Rhinolophus ferrumequinum: one gene and its partner. The main gene of each other region encodes a partner of the protein of the gene in region 2 in a complex. Links are inferred from orthologs where the notes say so. Each region holds a gene or a part of one and is shown on either strand. Other genes may lie near its edges.

Region 1 (7,806 bases), on a different chromosome or scaffold from region 2:
CAGCCTTCCTCTCTTCTACCCCACGGAGCCACCACTTCTTCGCCTGCCAGGGGGTACCCCCAAAGTGGCGGGAAGAGCCCAACAGCCAGTGCCTGAGGCTGCCCCAGGCCCCAAGTGGAGGGGGTGGAGAGAGGGCTGGGCGAGGGAGGGGCTGGGACAGCTGCTGCCCCCTCCAGCCCCTCCCTTGGCTGTTGGCTCAAGGAGAAGGAATAGCAACTGGGGAACAGCTGCGGGACAGTGCTGCCTCATAGGTCTCTTTGTTTGGAGGGGCTGGGGGGGGCTGGGATGCGGGGAGTGGGGTAAGAAGGGCACACAGCTCCTCCAACCCAGAAAGAGTACCCCCTCCTTCAGGTGGACTTCTCAGCTCCCAGCTGTCACCCCACTCCTAGAGAGGGACGTGGGGAGTCTTTCTGACCCTCCTCCCAGGTGCCCAGACACTCGATTTCAGTCTTGAGACAATGCCTAGAGGAGGCCCCCTGGACGGCCTGTTCCAATCACTTATGGGAAACGAGGGAACTAGAGGAAGGAGGATGCCACCCCTGGTGGGGAACCCCACTACGTCTCCTCAAGCTTGGGAAGCTCCTTCCGCCTGGGCCCCCTCCCCTCCAACCTCAGCCTCAGGCCCAGCAGCAGAATTGCTGACAGCTTATCTCATCACCGGGAGTGAGCCACTTGGCCCAAATGGGGAATGGTTCCCTTCCTCTCGGCGGGAACCGAGGCACTTCCCTCCCCACCCCAAACCAGCTTTTGCTTCTTCCCCCTCTGCTCTGAGCCGGCCCCTCCACAGTTGAGCCAAGGGGCTGGAGCCAGGCACCACCATGGGGGAGGGGAGAGGTGCGCACAGGAAGGATGAGGCCTGGAGAGGGGCTAGCCGCCCCACAACCCAGAGGGGAGGGGAAAGCAGGGAGCAGCTTCCTACAAAGATATGCTGAGGCCCCCGGCTCTCCCCTGGAGACCCCACCTGGGACAGCCAGTCCTGTCCGTCAAATCCCCGGTGCAGGGGGGTGACAGACCAAGGGCAGACTCCCCTCAGACCCCTGCCAACACACACACACTCTCAATAGCCCTCACCCCCACTACACACCCCAGGGCCCCTCCCCCACTCCTGTCCTCAGGCTTGTCCTTCTGGAAAGCTCAGAGACATCTGCTGTGTCACGGAGGTAGGGCTATTTCCAGGCCAGAGCGGGTGGGGTGGGAGGGCAGTATTGGGGCAGGAGGGGGTAAGGCCTAGAGAGGGGACTGGACAAGGCAAAGGGCCCCCGACTGACCTCAGCTGCTAAATCAGGAGGCCTAGAGATGCCCTGAGGGAGAGTTGGGGGTGGACATTCAATTATCCGGAATAGACTCTGGGGCAGTCTGGCAGGAGAGGCATCTGACCCTAAGTTAAACCCCTCTCCTGGGGCCTTGGGGTGCACCCTTCACGGGACACTTTCCTGTAAATCACAGCTGGACTTTTAAGAGCTCACCACAGGGGTACACAGGAGTAGGGGGTCTGGCCCAGGCCACCAGCCTGCAGAGAGGACAGCAGAGCTTTGAGGGGAGGGGCAGCCTTTGGCCACTCAGAGTCCAACCTTGGCCTCTGGTTCCCAAGCCTAGAGTGTCTCCCCACCCCCACCCAGCACAGACACACCTTCCAAATCTGGTTACACTCAATGACTTCCTCCCTTCTACAGGCCTTCCCCTCCCTCCCCTCTGCCCCGAGCGTTAGTTGCAGCCAATCCCAGCTTAGGGGGTGGGCTGGGGCCGGGCCGGGCCTGGACGTGCGGAGACCCCTCCCTGGCACGCTGAGCCCGAGGAGGACTAGCGGGGGTTAAGGCTCCCGCGCTCGCTCAGTGCCTTTTTAGGTTTCTGAGGCTGGGCTCTGCTTGCCCCGGCCCCCGGGCCTGAACCCAGCTGCTTAACACATGCGGGCCACCGGCTCTCCGTCTGCCCCGGAGCCCCGGGATCGGCAGTGGTTGGGACCTGCCTTCAGCCCGCTCCTCCCGGTGGAGCTGCTGCAAGGCTGGGAAGCCTTTGCTTTGTTTGAGGGAAGACGCCCCCAGGAATCAGTAATGGGTACTGGCCCTGTCCTCTCAAGTATGGCTGGGGTTGCCCGATGGCAAGAAGGCGGACGATGAGTAGAGAGGCGGGTCTGTGGGACCGTGTAGGAGAAGGCTGAAGCCGGGGGACTCTGGACCCTCCGGGTATCTCCCCATCCCCCACCGCCCGCCGCTGTGCAGAGAGGGGCGTGAAGGCAGTGCCCGTGTGGCCAGCGTCGGTGGTGGCGGGAGAGCCGGGGTTCCCTCCCCGTGTCAGGGGGCTGCTCTCCTCCCTCTCTCTCAGCTCCCCGCACCCACCGGCACCTGTGTCCCGTCCCCACGGGCCAGCCGGTCCTCGGGGCACTCCCCTGCCCACACTGACCTATGGACACGAGCTTGATGTGCTCGCGCTCGAGGAACTCGAGGGCCACGGACACGTTCTCCAGCTTCATCTGGCGGAAGTTGGGGCGCGGGTGGAACTTGCGGTACATGCGCTTCTGGCTGAGCACCTCGAGCAGAGCGATGAGGCGCAGACCGTCGCTGAGGTCTCGCTGCAGGTCGGTCAGGCGCTTGCCCACGCACTTGAGGTGCTCGTTGCACCAGCGCGTGAATGTATTCTGCTGGATCTTCTTCCACGGAGCGTCCTCCGCCAGGTCCTTCTCCGTGGACGGCATGTCGTCTGCCTCGTCGCCCAGGCCGAGGCCCGCGGGCTCCGAGTAGCCGCTGTTGTTCATCATGCTGGCAGGGGTGGGTCGAGGGTTGTGCTGCCTGCTGGGCACGGGCTGGGCAGGGGCTGGGGGCGCTGTCGGGGCGCTGTCTGGGCGATCGCGGGACTCGCAGCTCTGCGCTGTGCGGCTCTCAACTTCTCTCGCGCCCCTGGCTGGCGGGACTCAGCGGGACTCTTCGCTCCTTGGCCGCTCGCTCTCTCTCTCTCTCTCTCTCTCTCCCTCTCCCTTCGGGGGCGGAGCGGTGCTCGGGAAGTGCCGGCCCGGCCGGGGCGGGGGGTTTAAGAAGCCCCGGGCCGCGCTCCCCCCGCCGCACTCGCAGCCCCCGGGTCCACGTCAGAGCGCCGGCCTCCCAGGAATGCCGCCCGGCCTGCGGGTGGGGGCCGCGCAGAGCCCGACCGCCCCGCCTCTGTCCTCCCCTCCCCCACGCGGCCCGATTGGCCCAAGGGGGGGGCTCCCCCGCCCCCCAGTTAGCTCCCCAGAGGGGCTAGTCCCTGGGGCGCTGCGTTGGAGAGGTGGAGCAGAGCTGGAAGGTGGGGGGTAGGGCACCCAACACCCCAAAACTAAGCATTGCCCGTCAGAGATTAAATATGTCCCCTCCACGTCCCGCAGGACTAAAGAGATCAATAGGGAAACTGAGGTCAGTGGTTAGGGTAAAACACAGTGATCTGGTGTTGACAAAATTTTCTGGATGAATTGGTGACAGGGCCTGGGAGTCCTGGCTCCTAGCCCAGGGTACTGTCCACCTGTGCCAGGGAAGGGAAGTGTGTGCTAGTACAGAGATGGACTGAGAGGAAATAAGGATACCGCCCAGGCCAATTGGGGAGAAGGTGTGATGGTTGTGGTGGGGGGTGGTGCTTCACTTTTACAGGTAGAAAAGCCTAGTTTGAAGGCCAAACCCAGGGTCCCAGGAGAAAGACTGAGGCTGCCCCTGACTCAGTGTCCCCGTCACCAGCCTGTTTGGCCTCATCCCCTCAGAATGAAGCTGAGCTCAGGAAAAGAGTACCCAGTGAGTCACACTGTGCACCCCCCCAAGTCTGACTCAACCAAGGTGATGAGTGGGAAGGGAGAAACTGCCCTGTAGTAGCAGGGAGCCCCCTGGGCAAGGTGCCCATTTGGGCCACAGGGCAGATCCTTCCAGTGAAAGGGCGGGTTCGCCAGACAAAGAGGGAGAGCCCTGCCCAGAGCAGCCAAGGGGAAACGTGACAGGGGCTGGTGGGCAGAGAGAGCCCAAGGGAGCCAGCCAGGAAGCCTAGGCAGGACTGGGCGAGGGAATGGTGACAGCAAGGAAACTTGAGGCAGTCAAATAGGAGCTGGCCTGGGATGACAGAGCTATAGAATATATATACAGAGAATATAAATCCATAATTTTGTAGCATGCATGTGGTCCATATCCCCTGGTATTCCCTTTGCGCTGTATTTCCTCAGCTTTCCCATTCTTCAAGAACAAGTAAGTTTGGGCCAGACATTCCCCGATTCAAGCTGTGTGATAATTGAAGTTTGGGAAGGTTCTGGGACCTTAGAGGTATAACATTCTACCTTATTCCTCTTCTACCCCCAGGGAGAAGGGGGATAGCGGACAGAATGAGGGCAATCTCCATTATGGAGCTCAGAAAGAAGTTCCCGGGTTTTGTGGGCGGGAGTGCTTATGTGAAAGGGGTCCATGAATGATTTCTTTCCCTTCTCATTAGGTAGGGAGGGGGAGGAGTAGAGAAGGGGCCAGAAACAGAAAAGAGAACTGCTGTGTGTAGCTTGTGAGGGGGGAGCTCTGGGGGCCCTAATAGTGACAGGCAAGGTATAAATAGCCTGGGCCCTGCGGCTCATGTTCTGTCGGCTGCCTGTGACGAGGTGCTCAGGAATTCCACTCTCCTACTGGCACCCCCCTTCCCTATCTCCAGAATTCTCATTGCCCCATGCCACCTTTGTCCCACGGCCAAAACCAACCACCAGGCATCAGTGTTGACCGTCTACTTTAGAGGCTGAGCTCTCCTGTGGAGAGATGCCCAGCTCCTGGGGACACATGACACATAGCTGGGTCTCACAAGGGAAGTGTGTGTGTTTGTGAGTGTGTGTGTGTGTGTGTGTGTGTGTGTGTAAAAATGGCAGACTTCTGACACCTAACCTGAGGTGCCAGCTCAGGATTCAGCGATGTCTCTGAAGCCCTGATGAAGAAACTGAGGTACAGATCTGAGAAAGGATAGGTTCCTCTCTCTGAGCTGCTAGGGAGAAGAGAAAGGGGTAAAATGGGTTTCCTTGGAGCCAACAGCCCCTTTACAAATCCTAGTGGCTCATAGTCCTGTTTTGGGGCATTACTTGGTGTGTCCCCCAGTCAGTTAAGGTCCTCCATTGAGGTGGGAGGGTTCAGAGGGAGGCCAGTGAGTGGAGAAAGAAGTCTCCTCTCTCCCCCCTCTCATTCCCTCTCTCCAAGAGAGGTCCGTAAGAGGCCCCTGAGGAGTAAGTGAATGGTCTCAGTAGAGCAGGGTACCCAGTGCCAAGGATGGTTCCCAGCACCCTTCTTACCCCCCTTCCCCAGAAACCTGAGCCTGTTGCTCTCCAGGATAAATCGGGGCCTGACTCAGGCCCCAGCCAGCCAGTCCCAGCAGCCTGACCCAGGCGCAGGCTGGTGACTCAGCTCTCAATATAGCCCATGAGCCCAGGCCTCAGGCCTGGCCATGAGGGCTGGAACAGACCGTGCGCAATGCTGGTCCTACGGCCTGCCAAGTGGGGCCGCCTCCCTGAGGAAGGGCCAAGCCAGGCAGGGGCACATAGAGGGGCTTACAGGGGGTTTCATCAGCTGAGCATTTGGGGTAACGCTGGCTGGGGCCATAGGCTGTTTATAGCCCCCTGACTCACCACCCGCTGACCTGTCTCAGAGGACCAGGTTGCCTTTCACTTGGCCCTACTTCTCCCATCAAGGGGCTCATCAGCCACGGACAGTGGCCATAATTAACTTGGGCTAAACAGAGTCAGAGTGAGCGGGTCCAATGGGCCATGTTTGAGAATCCTGTTTTTCTGGAGCCAGGGACATTTCCACAGTCACCCGTTATGAGAGGAGACTGGCCAGGCTCACAGCAGGTCCTTGGATCAATCGGTGATACTGACTGTGGCCCTGACCTGGGTGCCAGGGACGGTGGGGTCGGATGGAAAGATCCATAGACTTTATAACCTTGGGCAGGTAATGTAACTCCTTTGGGTTTCAGTTTTCTCATCTGTGAAATGGAGTTAATGTTGTCATGGCGATTTTTTATGTATGAAGATGAAAGGAGGGAACATGTAAAATGAGCGTGGTGCCTGGCAGCTAATAGGTGATCAGAAAAAAAGTTCGTCTGCTTTCTCTGCTGGTATCTCGGGGACCATCTGGGGTCTGGTGAGTGAGGCCTTCCTCCCAGCTCTGTTTCTATCCCTTGTAGAATCCACCGCCAGGATCTTCACACTCCTCCAGTCTTCCCTTCCGTGATCCCCGAATCCACCTGCCAGAATCAGAACCAGGGTACCTCTGATCTTTAGAACCACCCACCCTGCTCCTTAATAGCAGTTGGTCCTTGACAGGAGTGGCAGGTGGTGTGCTCTAGCACGTGGCCTGGGAAGAGAAAGCCGAGGGGGGCTGTTGTGCTGGGAGAGAGCAGAAAAGCAGCAGTGACGCAGAGGGCAGTAGAGCGGGAGAGGGAGGCCCCTGAAGCTGTTTTGAGTCCTTGGTTCTATCTGTACTCCAGCCTGGGTGCGTGCCTGCCTGGGGCTTCTAGGAGACACCCCTGTAGACTTAAAACAAGCTCAAGTGACTGTTTCACATTCAACCCGGAGAGACCTCTTTGATCTACTCTGGTAACAGTGTATGAATAAGGCTAGGAGTCAAAGCCTAAAGGGATGAAGAGGAGAGCACTCTAAAATGAGCCAACAGGAGCCAAGTGTCCTAAAGGGAAGAGCTCTGTATGCTAAGCAAAAAGGCTAGGGAAAAACGGGACCATTTTCCTAGCTTTGCCCAGGCTCTAGATTTGGGCCTGGGAAGGATCTGATAAAGTCCCGACTGGGGGCCCACTGCCTACCAGACCGTGACCTCCACCTTGACTTCTCATTCCAAGTTAAATCAGTGATCTTTGATGGTAGGTAATCCTCCACTCTTTTTTTTTTTATTTTATTAAAATTTATTGGGGTGACAATGGTTCAGTCTTTTCCAGCCAACTGGTGGCCGGAGTAAAGGGAATAAAAAGCAGGGTTTCACTACACTCACCAGCGAGGGGCCAGTCGCCCCAGGTGAGTTGTGAAAGAATTTCTTCCGTTAGGTTACGACTGAGAACACACAATCTAATTGAGGGCAGTGCTTCTCAAATGTTATTGTGCCTAATAACTGGGGATCTTGTTAAAAGGCGGACTCTGCGTCAGCAGGTCGGAGGTAGGGGCTGAGCTTCTGCCCTGCCGATGCCGATGCTGCTGGTCTCTGGACCCGTGGGAGTAGCTGGGGGGCTACGCACCCCGAGGTCAGCACTGTCGTCACAGAGTAGTCACTTGGAGGCAGAAGGGATGCATGTCACTGCCCTCGATCTGGCTGGGTGCGGCCCTGTTTATAGCACTGGCCCAGGCCTGCCAGGGTGGACTCCCAGTCCAGCCTTGTCACTCCTCTGGGCTGCACACAACTTAAAAATCTCCTAATTCGGGGTGGCCGGTTAGCTCAGTTGGTTAGAGTGCGGTGCTGGTAACACCAAGGTTGCCAGTTCGATCCCTGCATGGGCCACGGTGAGCTGAGCTCTCCTCAAGGGGGAAAAAAAAATTCTCCTAATTCTAAATGTTGTTGCTACTCTCGCTAGGAAAGGCCGGGGAAGAAATGAATTCATTTAGTGCTGTGCAGTGCCCACCACTCTACATGCTCTATAGGTTGTTTTGGATTATTTGGATGAATGAAATAGACTCCTGGTATCAGGGGGAAAGGAGACAGAGGTCCCAGGAAACCAGCCACTGGTCACGGGGGCCATTCTGTCCACTGCGGTGTATGAACACACTTGGGGCCTTTTATATGGAAACATTCATGATCAGAACAACCAATCACAAGGACACTCATAAATTATCCT
Region 2 (7,202 bases):
AAGGAGGGCCACTCCAAGGCCTCCCTCTGTATGAATTTCAACTGGCCCCCTGGGCAATCTTGGTGACTGATGGACAATAACAACAAAAACAACATATGCTGGTAAATTTCTCCTAAATTGGTTTATATGTTTGGTTAAAATGTATAGCTCAGTCTGGTCATAAAATATCTGTTCTGAAAAAGAAACCAATCTATGAAGAAAGCTTCAAAATTCTTTAAAATATTTCTCTTTTGTGTCTTGTTTTATGTGATGTCTGGAAGTGTATACGCTTATATTGACTGTCATAATCTTTGGTTTTATGCTGGGACTTGCTGGGACTTCAGGCCCCAAGGGAAGGGGCCAAGCTGGGGACTTTCAAAGCCTGGTCTGTTGGGTCCAGTAGTCAGGTACCGGCAGGAAAGGGAAGCTCAACTTCCCTCTGGTCCCTCTGCCCCCACGTTTGCTACAAGTTTAATTATCAATTTTTGTAAACAACTTTCAGAGTGCATCTGAGATTTAAATATAAGAAACAACAGGGCACTGGTTGATAAAGCATTGGCTGTGCCAGGCGCTGTGTGCCATGCACTGTGCCCCCAGGGCCTTCCATGTCTCAAAACTCATCTAATTCTCAAAACAGCCCGTTTTGCCCCTACTTCATGGATGGACCACGTGAGGCCCCAAGAGGTTAAATGACTTTTACAGGCCATCCGTGGCAGACTAGGAATTCTAACGGAGCGCTATCTGATCTGCGTCCACAGGGTGTCCTAGGACCTGAGACACACCTTTTCATCCCTGGGTGGCATGGGGGCCCCAAATTCTCAGGCCTGTTCTCACCCCAGAATGCCCCAATCTGAACCAATCACCTTGTGGTCAGTGTATTCTGGGCTTTCCCAAGACTTCTGTGGATGCCCCCTCTACCTCCTTCTCACCCAGCTCTGACCCTCACTCCACCCCTTAAGGAAGTTGGATCTGGCGGTTTCTCGGAAAACATCCAAGGCAAGCTTCCCAGTGCTGACGCCAGATGTTCACAGCTGGGCACCCCCCCCTCCCCACACACACACACACACACACACACACACACTCCCTGCGGTTCTTGCTGGGACTTCAGGCCCCAAGGGAAGGGGCCAAGCTGGGGACTTTCAAAGCCTGGTCTGTTGGGTCAGTAGTCAGGCACCGGCAGGAAAGGGAAGCTCAACTTCCCTCTGGTCCCTCTGCCCCCACGTTACTCTGGAGTGGGGTACATGTGAGAAAACTCCCTGTGGGGCACCCAGAGGACCCTCCACCCCCATCCTTCCTCCCTCAGAGGGTGAATCTGAGATCCAGTTGGGTAAGCAGAGAAAGTGGGAACAAAGGGAAGGAAAGTCATTTCCTGTCAAGAGGAAGGAAGGAGGCTGAGATCCAGCCAGCCAGACACCCAGCCGGCTTTAAGCTAAAGCCCAGGGCAGGGACGGCCGGGCTGAGTGGGAGGGCCTCCAGGGGCTACCGGTAGTGACCCCTGCCATTGTCCCCTGTCCTATTCCTTCTAACCCCTTCCCAAAACTCTGGAACAGCCCCTAAGCTTTGTTCTTTGATACTCTATAAGCAATCTATGCTTGGTTTGGAATTAAAGTTTGAGGGAGGGGGAGGTGTGACTGTACCCCTTACCCCCCTCCACCGCAGGGGACCTTGCAGCCTTAGATAGGTGTTCCCCCTCCCTGTCTCCCACTCCAGGGAAGTGGAGGAGGCACAGGGCTGGGTTTACAGGGGCCCCACTGCTTTCCTGCTGGGCGACACTGAGCAGGTTACAGAACCTCTCTGGGCTCCAGGTTGTTTATAAAGTGAGAATAATGAGGTCTGTCCTGACCGCTGGCTGGCTGAGGGACTAAAAGGAAAGATGGTGCTCAAGATCTTGGTACAGTAAGTGCAAAGAGAAGGCCAGCTGGTTATTCAGCCCCTGGGGGGGAAGAGGAACCCTTAGGGACTAGGCTCCTGGGGGTCCTAGGAGGCCCAGGACTTAGCTTCTGTCATTATGAAGAACAGAAATCTAGGCACACCGCCCAGCGTCTTCCGTGGGTCCTCAGATCTGGGCAGGAGGAGGACCCATGCCACCAAGCACACACCTTGGGGATCGCCCAGGCTCACCCTGTCCCAAACACCTATGGGGTCTAAGGCCCAGAGAGGGGCAGCCCTGGGGCCCCCCTCCTTGCCCCTCCCCTAACCCTAGCTGGGTAAAAGGGCCCGCAGGTCCCCGGAGCTCCAGAAACCCGGCGCCCTCCCGCAAGCAGCCAAGCAGGGCGGCTGGCCGGGTCACCATGGGGCACCGCCAGGGACTTTAATTCGTTCCATGTGCGGGACGCTGTCTGTCCTCTTTGTGCGGGAGCTTCCGCCCTGCCCACCCCCGCCCCTGGCGCTCCGCTCCTGGGCAGGGACACCAACCCTACCCCCTACTCCGGGGACAGAAACGGAGGAACTGAGGACGGAAGGATAGCCCCCACCCCCAGCCCGTTCCCCAGCCCCCTCCAGGGGGCAGGGGTCCCGGCTGGGGGCGGGGTAGGCTTCGGCCTGGGGTTGCCCGCACTGTCACTTGTGTGTGGCCAGGGCAAGGCCTGATGGGCGAGAACCCCCCAACCCCCACCCCGCTTACCTGGGCCGCCCGCGCCCCAGCCGGCTCCGGTCCGACGCCAGAGCGAGCAGAGCCGGGAGGAGCGCGGGCCTCCCGCCCCTCCGCCCTCCCCGCCCCCTGGCTCCCTCCGCCCCGCAGCCCCGGCCGCCTTACCATAAAAGGTGAGGCTTGGGGGAGGGGGCCTGGGATTCCCGCCCGGCGGAAGCGGCCCCTACCTGCCCCCCCACCTGGCCGGCCGCGCCCCGCGCTGCCCCCTCCCCCTCTCTTTGTTCCCTCGACCCCTCCTCCCTTCCCCCGGCCCAGGCCTGGCGGGTGGGAGGGCTCTCCCACTGACACCCACCCACCCCGTGTCCTTTGTGCACCTTGAGTGGTCTTTATTCTCCCTCTCCCCCTGGGTTGGTGGCCCTACCTGCCCTGTCAGGTGGAAGGGGCGCTTACACCTCAGTTTGGCCTGGAAGCTCCCAAGGTCCTATGAGTCAGTTAGACGTGGGTTCCATGGCCATTCACTAACTACCTGGGCAGTAGCCTGTTTCTTTGTAAAACCGGGGGTATGGCTGCCTACCTGTCAGGGTCAGCCTGAGGATAAAATATGACAATGACAGTGAGGAGAGCACAGAGAATGGTCAATATATGCTGGGCTTGGGGCTTTTTTAGGGTGTGCCTCAGTGAAACAGGTCACCTGGATTTGGTGTCCTGAGCTGTCACTACCTGTCTGGAACTCTTCAGCCCTCTGTAGGTGGGTCCCAGGGTCCTTGGGGGGACAGACCCCTCCAGGAGGTCTGGTAGGCAAGGCCCAGCAGGCAATCAGGTCACCTGTCATGGACCCCCTCCCACCTCCTGCACTCCCACCTCCAAGCTGGAGTGGATAGATAATGCAGGGGGGAGGGGAAGCTGAGCCTGGGCCCTGGGGCGGGAGATGGAGCCGGGATGGGCCGCCTGAGTCCCTGGAGGCCTAGGGAACATTGCTGGGAAAAGGAATCTGGGTCTGATTCAGAGGCAAACAGATTGTTCTTTTGATTAAAGCCACAGTGGCTGAGGCCAGAAGAGCACTGGACCCTGCGCCATCTGGGGGGAGGCCAGGCATGGTGTGGCTGTCCTCTGCTGGCCCGAAGCTGCAGTCACGCTGCTCAGGGTGGCCCTTGGGCTGCTTTTGAGGGGCTCACGCTCGTGGGGGTTCTGAGGGGTGTGCCTTGAACCCTGTCCCACGCTCTTCCACCCTCACCCCACCTTAAATACCTCACCCACTTTTTGTCATCCTTTTTTCATTTGATCCTCACAGCTGAAACTGAGAGTCTCTATGACTTTCATTAAAATTAGCTTTAAATCCTAGCTCTAGATCTCTCTCTCTCAATCTCCTCGGTCCCCTCAGAGAACTCGTCTTTCCCTGCAGATAATCAGCAACCCCGAGGCACCAGAAGACAGTAGCCGAGACCTGACCAATGGTCAATCTGGATGTCTGGCAGCTAAGATGACGTCTTGACCTCCTGAGCCCTGAGTGGAACGACCCTTTGGCTACTTTCCCATCAGGCCAGAGAGACTACCCTTACCTCACCTCCCACAAATCAGCTCCCAGCACGAGCCCGCACCCCCTAACCCACAGTGTCTTGTGATTTTTTTCCTATATAATTTGTAACCTACACACCCTTGGGGAGTCAGGTTTTTGAGCATAAGCTCCCTGTCTCCATATTGGCCAGTTCGATACTAAACTATTTTTTTTTTCTATACTATAAACACCTATTCGTGCATTTCTTTGGGCCACTGCGCACAGGTAGGTGGATTCAAAAAACAAAACAAAATGTTGGGGTTCCGGTAACAGCCACTCTGCAATAACAACAGCAGCAGTAGCAGTGGTTGCCATTTATAGGGGTTCCTGTGAGCCGTGTCCGGCCTACAGGCCTGCTCTCCATTTGATCCCCAGGAGAGCCCTGTGCAGTGGGGCTGATTATTCCTGCTTCACAAATGAGGAAAGTGAGGCCCAGAGAGGCTCAAGGCCACACAAGGGGCAAGTGGCAGAGCTGGATTCAAGCCCAGACTAGTAGGTGCCCCTGGGTTCACGGCTCTGTTGGTCCCAGGGACCGGGTGACTGCCACTCTCCCCAGATTCAGAAGCTGAGGCTCAGAGAAGCAGCCAGAGTTCTTGAGGCAGAGGGAGACTCGCACTCAAGGCTGCCAGAGCACCTGGTAGGGCTCATTCCTGGCCTGGCAGTGGTGCCTCCCACTTTGCAACGTTTAGAATGAGACTTCGCTATACCTCCCCCAGAAGGAAGGAGGGAACTGCTGAACGCCAGACATGGGAAGGACCTTAAGGAGGAAGGTGAGACCCAGGGGTTTTCAGACACTTTGAGCTGTAGAACCCCCTTCTCAAGTGCTTTGTGACCCAGAAGCTTATTTAAAACAGAAAAATGCAGCTGCCCTCCCCCACCTCCATGATTTCCCCCAAGCCACCTCACTGTGCCCCCCGTGGGACAATGAGGCACCAAAGAGTTGACTTGGGAACTTGTCCAAGGTTACACGGACCCAGTCTTGGACCCAGACATCCTCTTATCTCTTCTGGGCTAAGACTGGCTCAGGAGGAGGAAGGTCAAAGGGGAATGTGGGGGTCTGGCTGCCACCACTTACCTGCTGTCCAGCACCCCCAGCTGCCTGTCCCACCTCTGTTGCAGCTCCCAGGTAGAAAGGAGTGTCCTGGCCAAGGGTCTCCCGCACCAACCCAGGTGTCAGTGTCACCTTGGTAGGTGCCAAGCTTCCTGCAATGGAAACCCAGGAAGTGCGCTGGATGAGAACACACGCCCTTTGTCTGCCAGCTCAGAGGCCCTGTTCCCCTCCTCCCTCCTTGCCATCCTCGGACCAGCTTTCTTCCAAGCAACTGAGCAAGGGCTCAATCTTCTCTTAGGGTTGTGGCAGCTGAGACCCTGGGTGGCCGGGAAGGGGTAGGAGATAGGTTTGGGGGCAGGCCCAAGGCAGTGGGGACACTTGCTGCTGTCCAGTCTGAAGGGGAGGGGAGCATGGCACCTGCTGCCAACAGTAGGAGGAGGGCTTTGATCCAACAAGCATTAATTGGGCACCTACTATGTGCTAGGCAGATACAATCAATCCTTGTCTCCATGGAACTTACAGGGAGATAGGGGAGATATTAATGAAAATTAATATAATACTTACCAGTGGTGAAGTGTGAATGAATAAAGCACTGAGACAGAATAAGGGGTGCAGGTGAGGGTAGGGCAGGCCTCTCTGGGTGGGTGGGTGGGGGCCTTTAAGCTGAGACGAGGAGGAGCCAGCCATGAGAACAGGAGGAGGGAGGCAGTAGGGAAAACATGGATTTTGAGGTCAGACTTAGGCTTAACTCCCAGCTCTCGGGTGCTGGCTTTGACCTTGGCCAAGTCCCTTTCCTTTTTGAAGCTCCATTTCCTCACCTGTAACATAGGAGAGCTGGGCTGGATGCCTTTGAATGGGGATGTGAATCCCTCCCTTTGCAACTGTTGGGGACAGAGGCACTGAAAAGGCACCCTCGGGGCCTCGGGTCGCTGTCCCACGGATGGTAGCGCTAGCTATTCTTACATCACTCTCGCCTGGTTTCCAGTGCTCTCTGCTCACATGGTCCATATGCTCGACAGCTAGATCTGAGAACAGGGACAAGGCTCCCTGAGCTGAAGTCCCCGGGGCCCAGAGACCTCGAGGACAGAAAGCATCTGTCTGTCCAACTGCCGTCCCCCTTGCCAGGCTCCACTGGGGCCAGGTCAGAGCAGAACTGTCAGGCCCAGCCTGGGGGTGCCCAGATGTGCAGCTGCATGAAGTTGTACATTCAGGTCACAGAAGGGTGCCCACTTCCTCAGCAGTCTCAGAAGCCGCCCCACTCCCGCCCGGGGCCATCTAGCTCTGCTCCTGCCCCTCTCTCCATCCTCCTCTATGCCTGCTCGGAGTCAGGTCCGTTCAACACATTTCCTGAGCATCTCCTGTATGGGGGGCTCTGTGCTCGGGGCTGGACAGGGGGTGAATCAATACAGAGAAGTGGGAGCCCCCCCACACTGTAGCAGGGGCGGGGCTGGGGCAAGCACAGATATGAGTAACATCAATATCCGTGGTGAATCCAGCTCTGACACTTGCCAGCCTGTTACCTTGGGCAAGTCACTTCTCCCTGAGCCTCAGTTTCCTCTTGTAACCTGGGGGTAGCAGTACCTCCCTGTGGCTTCATTGTGGGGATTTGATAGGAGGAATGTGGATAAATATGCCTGGTGCTTAGTAGGTGTTCAGGGGTGAGTTCCTTTCCTTTTCCCATCCTACAGATGAAGGAGGTTTCAGGATTTTGCAGGGAGATGGACAAAGTGCTGAAGGTAAGGAAGAGACTTAGTCCCATGAGATAATCTAAGGGACATGGTTTCTGTCAGCCAGTGTCACTTTCCCGGATTCTGGTAACAGTATCCAGTTTCTGTTTGGGGAACCTCACCCCTACTCTTAGTGCCTGGATGGAATTATTTGGAAAGAGTCAGTATTTTTCCAGGCTGTCAGGATGCAAGCTTGGCATCATTTTTGCCAACACTTGGACCAACATGGAGGACAGGAGAGCAAAGATGATAGAGAAGGAGAGATAACTGATTTCATCACTTCAGCTGCTGGATAAACGG

Evidence for each region. The genes of interacting proteins can lie anywhere in the genome.
Region 1: the proteins of FBLIM1 (region 2) and FLNC are in contact, whole or in part, in an NMR structure (PDB 2K9U), measured with the Homo sapiens proteins. The link is inferred for Rhinolophus ferrumequinum from reciprocal best matches to the Homo sapiens genes FBLIM1 and FLNC. Residues at the interface, in NP_001337080.1 of Homo sapiens: Arg8, Val9, Ala10, Ser11, Ser12, Val13, Phe14, Ile15, Thr16, Leu17, Pro19; in NP_001449.3 of Homo sapiens: Thr2339, Ala2344, Gly2345, Gly2346, Leu2347, Ser2348, Ile2349, Ala2350, Val2351, Glu2352, Gly2353, Pro2354, Ser2355, Lys2356, Ile2359, Phe2361, Asp2380, Glu2382, Phe2387.

Annotation. Positions count from the first base shown.
Region 1 is NC_046309.1:17,312,087-17,319,892, forward strand, and holds the start of FLNC (filamin-C), read right to left. Parts: upstream 3,014-7,806; 5' UTR 2,756-3,013; coding exon 2,401-2,755; intron 1-2,400.
Region 2 is NC_046292.1:10,559,176-10,566,377, reverse strand, and holds the start of FBLIM1 (filamin-binding LIM protein 1), read right to left. Parts: upstream 3,013-7,202; 5' UTR 2,991-3,012; intron 2,697-2,990; exon of another isoform or gene 2,603-2,696; intron 1-2,602. UniProt on the Homo sapiens protein: Serves as an anchoring site for cell-ECM adhesion proteins and filamin-containing actin filaments. Is implicated in cell shape modulation (spreading) and motility.